Linked DNA regions of Arabidopsis thaliana. The protein of the gene in region 1 purifies or fractionates together with the protein of each later gene. This does not show direct contact. Each region holds a gene or a part of one and is shown in the gene's direction. Other genes may lie near its edges.

Region 1 (5,472 bases):
GATGTGACGAATGCCATTAGAAAGGAGATGGGAGATGACGTAAGAGCTACTAAAATGAAAGATGCTCCATCGAGTACTGATCATGTGAATGGACATTCAAACGGTGGCAACCACTATTACGCTAGTGAGGATTATTCCAGTGAACAGAGGGCTGCAAAACGAGTTAGGAAGCCTACACGAAGATACATTGAAGAACTTTCGGAAACAGATGATAAACAGCAAAATGACAAGTCAGTGATTCCTTCTAAAGATCAGAGGTTGTCCGAAAAATCTGAGGTCAGGTCTATCAGTGTCTCCTCAGGGAAGAGAGTTACTGTCACCAGGATGGTATCCCTTGCTGGATCTGAAATTGAGGTTCCTTATGTTTCTCATGTCCGGAGAAGCCGTCCAAGAGAGAACATTATGGCTCTTTTGGTATGTCTCTTGGTTACTCATGCTCCTCAATATAGTAAATTAATCTCATACCTTTCCTTTGAACTGAAAAAAGCTTCCAATCATCTGGCTCGTGTTACATCTGTGCCTTGTGTCACATGCCAAATTCTATCTCAAGAAGCACAGATGTAAAAATAATAAAATAAGTGATCATCTTCTATGCCATTATTTTGCTTTGCTGTTATGTCGGAATGTAATTAAGGATTTTACAACATTGTGTAGGGATGTCATTCCAGTTACTTGGAAGATAAAGCTAGTGCAGCAGAGAGTAACCTCAATCTGAGTCCATCCCAGTTAAGCAGTGAGGTTGTGAACCGAGATTCGGTGGAAAAGTCTGCTTCTCGACCGGTCCAAAACGAAGTAAGAGATATCTGTTGTTTAAGTTACCTTACTCTCGTAATTCTCATTTCGTACTTTGCTGATAGTAGAAATGGTATAGGGTTAGATCTCATTTACCATCTACCTGATATAAGATGAATTTGGTGTTCCAGGTATGACACAGTTTCTCATTGCTTTATTGGTTTGCGAATGCAGTTTGCTACAAGTGACGAGAACAATGTGGAGCATATTCTCTCTGAGGTTGATCAAGAGATGGAGCCAGAGCACATAGACTCATCTGGAAATAGCTCGGATGAGAATAACATTGGTGTGCCAATCATGCAAGGTGGTGCGCTTAGAAGGAAGCATCATCGAGCTTGGACTCTGTCTGAGATAGCAAAACTAGTTGAGGGTGTATCAAAATATGGAGCCGGGAAGTGGTCTGAAATCAAAAAGCATTTGTTTTCATCACACTCCTATCGTACCTCTGTAGATCTCAAGGTAATTCAACCTTTTTAACCCTCTTTGCTTATACTATCAATCAAGGCTTTGGTTTAAACATCTTGTTGTTTTTTAGGACAAATGGCGAAACCTTTTGAAGACAAGCTTTGCTCAGAGTCCCTCAAACAGCGTGGTACCTCCCTCTCTCTCTCTCTCTCTCTCTCTCTCTCTATCCCTTTAGCTTCCAACTGGAGTTTCTTTTGCTCAAGTTGTAATAACGAGAGCTTATGAGTATACTGTCGTGTTTCCAGGGAAGTCTCAAGAAACATGGGTCGATGCATATTCCTACGCAGATTCTGTTACGGGTAAGGGAGCTTGCGGAGAAGCAATCTCAGTAAGCAAGTTTGTTGGAGATAGCAACAGAAAGGAAATGGAAACAAGGTCCGACTTCTTGTAGCTGAGTTTTTTTTGTAAAATAGCAACTCAAGTAAGGGAGACGAGAAATGTGAGATAAGATAACAGTTTCTGTAGTAGACTTGTAACTTTCTAAGGAGGCTTTGTGGGTTATATATATTTATGAGAAAAGTATTAAGTAGTGTCTGTGTCCTGAATTGGTATGAATGATTCTCTATAATATCCATGGAAGTTTGACTCGGACTTGAATTGGGCCTTTTTTTGTATTCGATCCATTATTCCTTGGAGGTGGTTCTCGACCAACACGTACATGTATCTTTCTCGCTTTCTCTAGAACCATCCTACCCCTATTAACTCATCAAAATTTCTCTCCTTTCATGCAAAAGCTTCGATCTTTTAATGTTGTTTGATCGGTAGACAATCGATGCCAAAGTGGTGAGATTTTGTTTGTTAGATATGTTACTAATTTTAGAGTTCTTTAGATGATTTATCTCAGTTTAAAGTTTGTGTCTTTTTGAGTTAATGGTTAATTTGGTGGTGATTTTATGATTTGCCTTTGAATTCTGTCTGATTGTTGTTGGTTCTTTTTATGCTGAAACTAGTGAAGATACCTCAGTCCTTACCTATCTCCAGAAATTGCAGTAGTAGATTCTGAAAGAAAATGGGAATTGTGGAAAGGATAAAAGAGATCGAAGCCGAGATGGCTCGGACGCAGAAGAACAAAGCTACAGGTTTCTCTTTACATTATATAACGTATAGATGTATAGACATTGATTTGTCATATATTTCTGAAACAAAAGCAGAAGAAATGGTCAGCTAATGAAAATATTGTTACATTTTTTGGACAGAGTATCATCTTGGTCAGCTCAAGGCAAAAATTGCAAAGCTCAGAACACAACTCTTAGAGCCTCCAAAAGTAATGCAACTTCTTATTGTATATAGCTGAAGCAGAGTATTTAGTCTTCATTTCTAAATGTCTTTCAAATCTACCTAACAGGGCTCTAGTGGAGGTGGGGATGGTTTTGAAGTTACAAAGTATGGGCATGGACGTGTTGCACTTATAGGATTTCCAAGGTCTATCCTAAATTCACGCCCATCCATGATCCATGTATATGTCTTTGTTCCAACTTCAGAGTCCCTCACTATGTGTTTGTGGCTGTGATTTGCAGTGTTGGAAAGTCTACGCTTTTGACAATGTTAACTGGCACACATTCTGAAGCAGCCTCATATGAATTTACAACACTTACATGCATCCCTGGAGTTATTCACTACAATGACACCAAAATCCAGTTGCTTGATCTTCCTGGGATTATTGAAGGTGCTTCAGAAGGAAAGGGACGAGGGAGGCAGGTTTAAATCGAATTGATTCTTATTTTTTTTAGTCTCTAATCCCTTGCTATGAAATAAACTTAGATGGAAACTGTTTGTTTTTCAGGTTATTGCTGTTGCAAAGTCTTCAGACCTTGTGTTGATGGTTCTTGATGCCTCAAAAGTACGAGCTATGGTTTTGATTTCCATATAAGTATTGTGCTGGTTCTGTCTTTTTTTCGTTTTTGCTATTTTAGTCTCAGTACTTCTTCTTCCCAAAATCGTTTTAGAGTGAAGGCCACAGGCAAATACTGACTAAGGAGCTTGAAGCAGTTGGTCTGCGTCTGAACAAAAGACCTCCACAGGTAAATCTCATCTTTATCAATGGTCTCCCTTAATATCTTATAAACTAGAAACTCTTGGTTCTCTTTCACTTTATCTGCTTAATTTCTGTTTTCCATCTTTGAAAATGCTGCACTATCTTGATGTGCTACCATTTAGTGGTGTTTTGCTTTCTCTGGTCTAACAGATATACTTTAAGAAGAAGAAGACTGGTGGGATTTCTTTCAACACTACAACCCCCTTGACTCGCATTGATGAGAAGCTCTGTTATCAAATTCTGCATGAATACAAGATTCACAATGCTGAGGTACTTAAGTCCATCTTTAATCTTGTTTTTATTCAGCCTCGGACAAGAATCATTACGTGCCTCTCTTGTCCGCTAGTTAGGAGAAGAACTATAAAAACTTTAAATCATATATTTTGTTGCTTCGTTGAGAGATGTCCAATGGGTTCAGTAATAAAAATTTCAGGTTCTATTTCGTGAAGATGCTACGGTGGATGACTTTATTGATGTCGTTGAAGGCAATCGCAAATACATCAAATGTGTATATGTCTACAACAAAATAGATGTTGTTGGAATCGATGACGTTGATAGGCTGGCACGGCAGCCAAATTCTATTGTTATTAGCTGCAACCTAAAGGCAAGTTCTTTTATTTTGACTATAGTAGTGTCTAAATAAGAATCCTATCCAGTGCGGTTCTAGGTTCTTCATAATGGTCTGATTCCTGTATAGTCTGAAACTTGTGAATATACTGGAACAGTCTGGTCTAATGGTAAATGATGGTGTTGCTTGAAACAGCTAAACTTAGACAGACTACTTGCAAGAATGTGGGACGAAATGGGACTTGTGAGAGTTTACTCAAAGCCTCAAAGCCAGCAACCAGATTTCGATGAACCCTTTGTCCTCTCAGCTGTAAGTATAATATCCTCAACACTATTCAGGCTTATTTTGTATAGATAAGAATTTACAGATATGTTTTTCATGTTTGTACTTCACAATAACATCTGTGACAGTAATATTTGATTACATGTGTCACTCCTCAGGATAGAGGTGGCTGCACAGTTGAAGATTTCTGTAACCAAGTCCACAGAACTCTGGTGAAGGATATGAAGTATGCACTAGTTTGGGGCACAAGCGCTAGGCACTACCCTCAACACTGTGGTCTTTTTCATCATCTTGAGGATGAAGATGTTGTTCAAATTGTCAAGAAAAAGGTACAGAAGCATAAACTATTTTCTGATCTCTGTCTCATGATGAGAATGCTACATCAAATGTTGATGCTTGTCGAAATTTCAGGTGAGAGAAGAAGGGGGAAGGGGACGGTTCAAGTCACACTCGAACGCACCTGCTAGAATTGCAGACCGAGAGAAGAAAGCTCCACTAAAGCAATAAAACAGTTACTCATCCTGAGTTATCCCAAGTAATACAGATCTCATGTGTATTAGAACTATGTAATAGTTGTTGCTCACCAATTCTACTGTAAATTCTGTTCTTAGTCTATAAAAAGGCATTGGCATTCATATCTTGATTTCATATTGACAAGAGCTAGGAATAGATTGTTTCAGAAATACGAGAAGTAAACGATTAATGATCCAAGTGCCAAACAACGACATTTGTAGTCTCGAAACTAATTCCTTAACATTCATATGTAAAAAAAAGATAAACAGAAGTTGCTTCTGTATCTATATTCCGTGTATGTGTTTCATGGGACCAACAAGCTGTTGAGATGATTGAAGGCACGATTGCTTAGCCTCTCTGGCTCTTTGCCCACATATGTCTTCCTGTTACTTGAGCTGGTGGGTATAGATCAGTCCACTGGTTGTTCAACGGATCCGAACCAGCACTACGCCTTACATTTACATCTCCGTTGTAAGACATTGACTGTTTCTTTTCAAACGGTGTTTTGGAACAAGAGGACGAAGACCCTGATCGTCTCTGCTTAGCTTTAATAGATTGTGTGAGGCTCATGTAGCTAGGCTTTCTGTAGTACCCTCCTTCCTCAAGGAAACTTCCCGAGAAGGGAACTGGGGATTGAGAAGTCGATGAAGACTCAGAACTCGTAGCAGACGATGACATTGGAGGAGGTCTAGCCAAAACTCTGGTTGTGAGATTGTTCTTCCTGACCTGAACCGTATCATGTTCAGACACACTGCTCTCGCTTTTCCTTGCATTTTCTGATGAGTTTGTAGGACCTTCCATCAACCGACCTTCCCAT
Region 2 (4,568 bases), 8.2 Mb from region 1:
AGACATCTCCACCATCTTAGTTTCTGTCTGCCTAGCACCATCTAAAAGATTACTTAGCTCTACCTGCAAAAATTATCAATTTCAAAATTTAGCATAACTACAAAACTTATGCAAGTTTTCGAAGATCATGTATATTTGCCTTGTTACCTGAAGGGCTTGTGTTTCATCGTCTAGAAGTTGTTGTTGTTGTAATCTACGAGGTTGGGCCTGGATTTCATCCGGTTCTATGGACTCCGAATTTCCCAGAGTTGTATTAATTGGGGTAGCTTCCTTTATGACCCTCTTAGGTTTTCTTCTCGGCATAGCTCTGTTTATAATATCTTGGAAACGAGTAGCTCTAAGCTGATCAAACTGGGCAGTGACTGAATGAAGTTTCTCACTCAGAATCAAAACCTGCATACAAAAAAAATTACCATTACTTCTACACATCTAGATACTTTGAAAGAAAACATAGTAAAAAAAAACCAAAGTTGGCTTACTACATTGGTGCATATCATACCACTCCATGTTTGTGTGCTATAGAATCAGCATTGAAGTTATCTGCGGGGAGGCCAAGCCATCCTTTGGAGTTTGCTTCTTCATTTCTAATACTGTTTATGAGAATATCGATCTGTTCTTTGCAAGCTTTAATAAAAGCAGCAACCTGCAAGAGGGAGAGAGAGAGAGTTTGATGATATTACACAACACATAAGTAGACATAGTTCTCGATCAAACACTGCAAGAGGTATAAGAATACAAGATCCAAGTTCCTCAGTGTCACAATATACTAACTCCCTCGCTATCTAAAGTAATAGACATTAATCTTCCTGAGTTATCTCAATATGAGTTGCTACATTTCTTATGATTCCATAGTTCCATATGTTCAATCTCAACTCAAGCATAGATTTATCGCAGTAACTTCATGAGTTCAGATATATACTACGGGCAAGCCTAGCTCAGAGTACTTACTTCTTGTTCAATACTATCCTTTTCCTGTTCTGTAGTCCGGTGCAGATCAACATAATCCTTTCGATGCTTCAACATAAACAGTTCCAACTCCTTGATGCTATCAAGCTAAATCAACCAACATAGACAAGTTGGTAGCAACACCACATCAGAATCATTCAATAATGCAACAAACATATTTCAGATAAAAATGCTGAATCACTAAAGGTACCGTTTTGAAAGCAGCTTTCGTGAAAGGCGATCTCTCCTTTGGCTTATGTATAATAAAAGACGCCATTGTTGATGCCACTTTAGACTGCCACACAAATACAAACGAATCAGATAAATGTTAACAAAAACAACAATCCAAAACCCTGAAAACCCTAAGGAATGATCATAATTGAGATGCAAAAAAATCCTCTCTTTTTGACAAATAGCTTCGATCAAACGAGATTGAAGACGAAAGGTGACTCGCGTACCTCATTATAACCTATCGAAACAGCGGAATTCCGAACAGAATCCTTGAAATCCTCCGTCCTGTCTCTGAATCTCGACATCTTGTACCCAAAATTCAGATCGATCAATGCTTATTCTTCCTTATCAATCAATCAGTCAATAGCTTCAAAAAAACAGTCTCTTTAGATTCAAAGAAGGGTTTTTTTCTCCGGCGATTCGGAGAAGAAACCCAAAGGAAATCGAAGAAGAAGAGGGTCACAGAGAAGATCGGAGAGGAGAAGAGAAGCGAGAAGAGAGAGAGAGAGAGAGAAAAAGGCCTTTCATTTTTTTCTGTTTCGTAAAAAATAAAATAAAGTGAGAAATCCATTCGACGACACCGTTTTGGGGATCGTAAAGTTCTGATTCTCTCCTTTAGGTTTATCTCTCGTTAACGTCGCTCTTGGTCACGAGGCGACTCTCACTGTGGAGTTCGATATTCAGGCAATCTCAAAAGCTTCCACGACAAAGGTGTCAAATTTGGTCATCATGACGGGTGAGTTCGATCAATTTACTTCAAAAGTTTCTTAATTTCTTCGTTTAACATCGAATCTTTGATTCCTTAAGCTTATCATTAGATGGGAGAGTAATTAGATTCCGATTGATCTTGATTTCTGACAGATTGATTTGAGAATTATTGGGTGTTATGTTGTGTCTCTTGTAGAGTATAAGCAGGAGCAGGAAATGGAGATTGAAGCTCTTGAAGCTATACTTATGGATGAGTTTAAAGGTGAGTTTTTTTTAGTTTCCTTGTATGTTCATCATTGAGCCGATGATGAGAGCATTGAATCCTTAACGACTGTTTTGTGAACAGAAATTCATTCTAGTGAAAGTGGGCTTAATACTTCGAATCGATGCTTTCAGATTACAGTGACTCCTCAGGTAGACAACACCATTCATCTATTTCCTTCACTTTGTTTGTCATTTGTGAAAAGCTTATGTGTTATAAGTGTAGAAATGTCAACTGAAATATCTTCTGCTTCTTCTTTGGTCTTTATAGGATGATGAACTGGAGGAATTAGCAATCCCACCAGGTTATTGGTCTTTAAAGAAGATACCTTGTTGTATCATATGCCTCTCCTGTACTTTCTCAGTCTTATAGCTCTCAATTTGTCTTGCAGTTCAGCTGGCTTTGGTTTTCTCGCACACAGAAAATTACCCGGACGAGGCTCCGCTTTTGGATGTTAAAAGGTAATTCTTGGTTAACCAATTTTATCAAGCTAAAACAGATATATGATGATGACACTCATGTGGGTAGAGTATTCTTCCAGTATTCGAGGAATCCATGTTAGTGACCTCACCATCTTGAAAGAGAAGCTTGAACAAGAGGTAATATATTTGTACAACTTTATGGCTTGTTATAAATTTTATACATGAAGTATAAAACTGGAAGGCCTCTGGTCTATGCTGTTTCTACACCGAATTGCATGCCTGAACACAAAGCTATTTTTCACAGGCATCTGAAAATCTAGGTATGGCCATGATCTATACACTGGTCTCATCAGCAAAGGACTGGTTGTCTGAACACTATGGGCAAGATGATGCAGCTGAATTTGCCGAAGTAGAAGCTGCCAAAGAGGATGAGGTATTGTTGTCTGCTCAGTATTTCAGATATAAGCTGCAAAGAACCTCAAGTCTTTTTTGCATGATATATGTGTCTGCCTTCGTATCGCTTGTTCTCTTCCTGTCTAAATTTTATTTTTGCAGGTAATTGTCCCTCATGGAGAACCTGTTACGCTAGAGACATTTTTGGCGTGGAGAGAGAGATATGAGGCAGAGCTTGCACTTGAGCGAGCCAAGTGAGTAAACTTTCCCTGCATATTCTTCTTGTTTCCTTGCTCTTATATACCATTGAACACTGACTGAGTTATTAATTTTTTATCTGTGGCCGTGAATTAATTTCTAAGGTTGATGCCGGAGTCTGCTCTTACAGCACCTAAGGAGAAGAAGCTTACAGGAAGACAGTGGTTCGAAAGTGGGAGAGGGGTATGTCTCATTCTTGTTTATTATCGGACTCATGTTAGAATTTCATTATCTAAACAAGTACTATTGTTGTTAACTGTCTTGTTCAGAGAGGAACGGTGGTCATTGCTGATGAGGAAGATGAGGAGGAAGATGAGGAAGACATCGACTTTGAAGACGAAGACTTTGAAGGTGAAATAGTCTTTCTTTTTGGTTTACACGCGATTATCCATAAGCAACCAATGGTTCTCAAGAACCGCTTTGTTTTTTTTTGATACAGATGACGAAGAAGACATGCTTGAGCACTATTTGGCGGAGAAATCTGATTCTTCCGCTCCCCCAACAAGGACATGAAGCTAAGGGAGAGCCTTATATACTGATAATTGAAGCTCTTTTCTGGATAGAGATCATGATGCAAGATACTGACCTTGCATTGAGAAGCATTTAATCTCCATATCTTCAGTTTTCCGAGTTTTGATCCACTCAAGAGTACCCTGAGAATTACCATTTGTCTTAAATCTATAAAATTTACCATGTCATCTATAAAAACACTGTAGGAGAGAATGCCACTGATTTTGTAACTTTTTTGTTTAGCATCAGCTCAAAGCAAATCTCTCTGTCAAAAGACAAATAGTTAAAATTTGGACCCTTGCAACCTTGTTTAAGCTCTGCGTTATCAGTTTCTTCCATCTTTGTTAGTCACATAACTTAAGTTAACATACTATGGCTGAAAAAGGTTTATTCCTATCAGAGTATGTAATTTCTAAATAATGATATAGATTTCCATCTAATATGTTACAGAGAGTCCAATGTTACTTCATTACGTTTACAGAACTCCTGCCGGTACTTAAGATGCAGGGCCATTTTGCTAGACACAACCTTGGTCCGTCATGGCTTGAGCTATGTTCAAAAATGCTGCAATCGTTGCTCCATGAAGTAGTGCCCTGACATCAAAACCGAATATTATTCCAATCCTTTGGATTCACAATAGTAACGAGCACGAGGAAGCTACAGAGCAGCTTAGGCCAACATAGTACAGTAACTGTTGGTTTATGACGAGGAGAAAAACTTACTCAGGACTTTCTTTTTGATAACCGAAATCATTTGCTGCTTTAAGAGCTTTTTCATAAGTCTGCTTCAGTGCTTCCTATCAATATCAGAGCAGTTATCTTAATAGGAAATTATCACAG

Evidence for each region. The genes of interacting proteins can lie anywhere in the genome.
Region 2: the proteins of AT1G72660 (region 1) and AT1G51730 fractionate together in Arabidopsis thaliana (co-fractionation; one large-scale study listed by BioGRID). This does not show direct contact.

What each region holds. Positions count from the first base shown.
Region 1 is NC_003070.9:27,351,895-27,357,366, forward strand, and holds AT1G72660 (P-loop containing nucleoside triphosphate hydrolases superfamily protein), read left to right. Parts: upstream 1-1,870; 5' UTR 1,871-2,040; exon of another isoform or gene 2,041-2,207; 5' UTR 2,208-2,266; coding exon 2,267-2,336; intron 2,337-2,453; coding exon 2,454-2,521; intron 2,522-2,602; coding exon 2,603-2,679; intron 2,680-2,708; exon of another isoform or gene 2,709-2,774; coding exon 2,775-2,955; intron 2,956-3,040; coding exon 3,041-3,097; intron 3,098-3,203; coding exon 3,204-3,278; intron 3,279-3,442; coding exon 3,443-3,562; intron 3,563-3,725; coding exon 3,726-3,896; intron 3,897-4,055; coding exon 4,056-4,169; intron 4,170-4,300; coding exon 4,301-4,471; intron 4,472-4,553; coding exon 4,554-4,649; 3' UTR 4,650-4,958; downstream 4,959-5,472. Other genes in the region: TRFL6 (TRF-like 6), read left to right, coding at 1-414, 655-792, 967-1,251, 1,328-1,384, 1,503-1,589; iqd8 (IQ-domain 8), read right to left, coding at 5,004-5,472. UniProt on the Arabidopsis thaliana protein: Binds GDP and GTP, and has low GTPase activity.
Region 2 is NC_003070.9:19,185,976-19,190,543, reverse strand, and holds AT1G51730 (Ubiquitin-conjugating enzyme family protein), read left to right. Parts: upstream 1-1,738; 5' UTR 1,739-1,905; coding exon 1,906-1,912; intron 1,913-2,080; coding exon 2,081-2,146; intron 2,147-2,230; coding exon 2,231-2,298; intron 2,299-2,416; coding exon 2,417-2,450; intron 2,451-2,537; coding exon 2,538-2,607; intron 2,608-2,687; coding exon 2,688-2,745; intron 2,746-2,872; coding exon 2,873-3,001; intron 3,002-3,123; coding exon 3,124-3,215; intron 3,216-3,323; coding exon 3,324-3,402; intron 3,403-3,488; coding exon 3,489-3,570; intron 3,571-3,658; coding exon 3,659-3,732; 3' UTR 3,733-4,056; downstream 4,057-4,568. Other genes in the region: SYP81 (syntaxin of plants 81), read right to left, coding at 1-63, 148-393, 500-643, 949-1,053, 1,157-1,240, 1,404-1,481; AT1G51720 (Amino acid dehydrogenase family protein), read right to left, coding at 4,247-4,322, 4,452-4,525.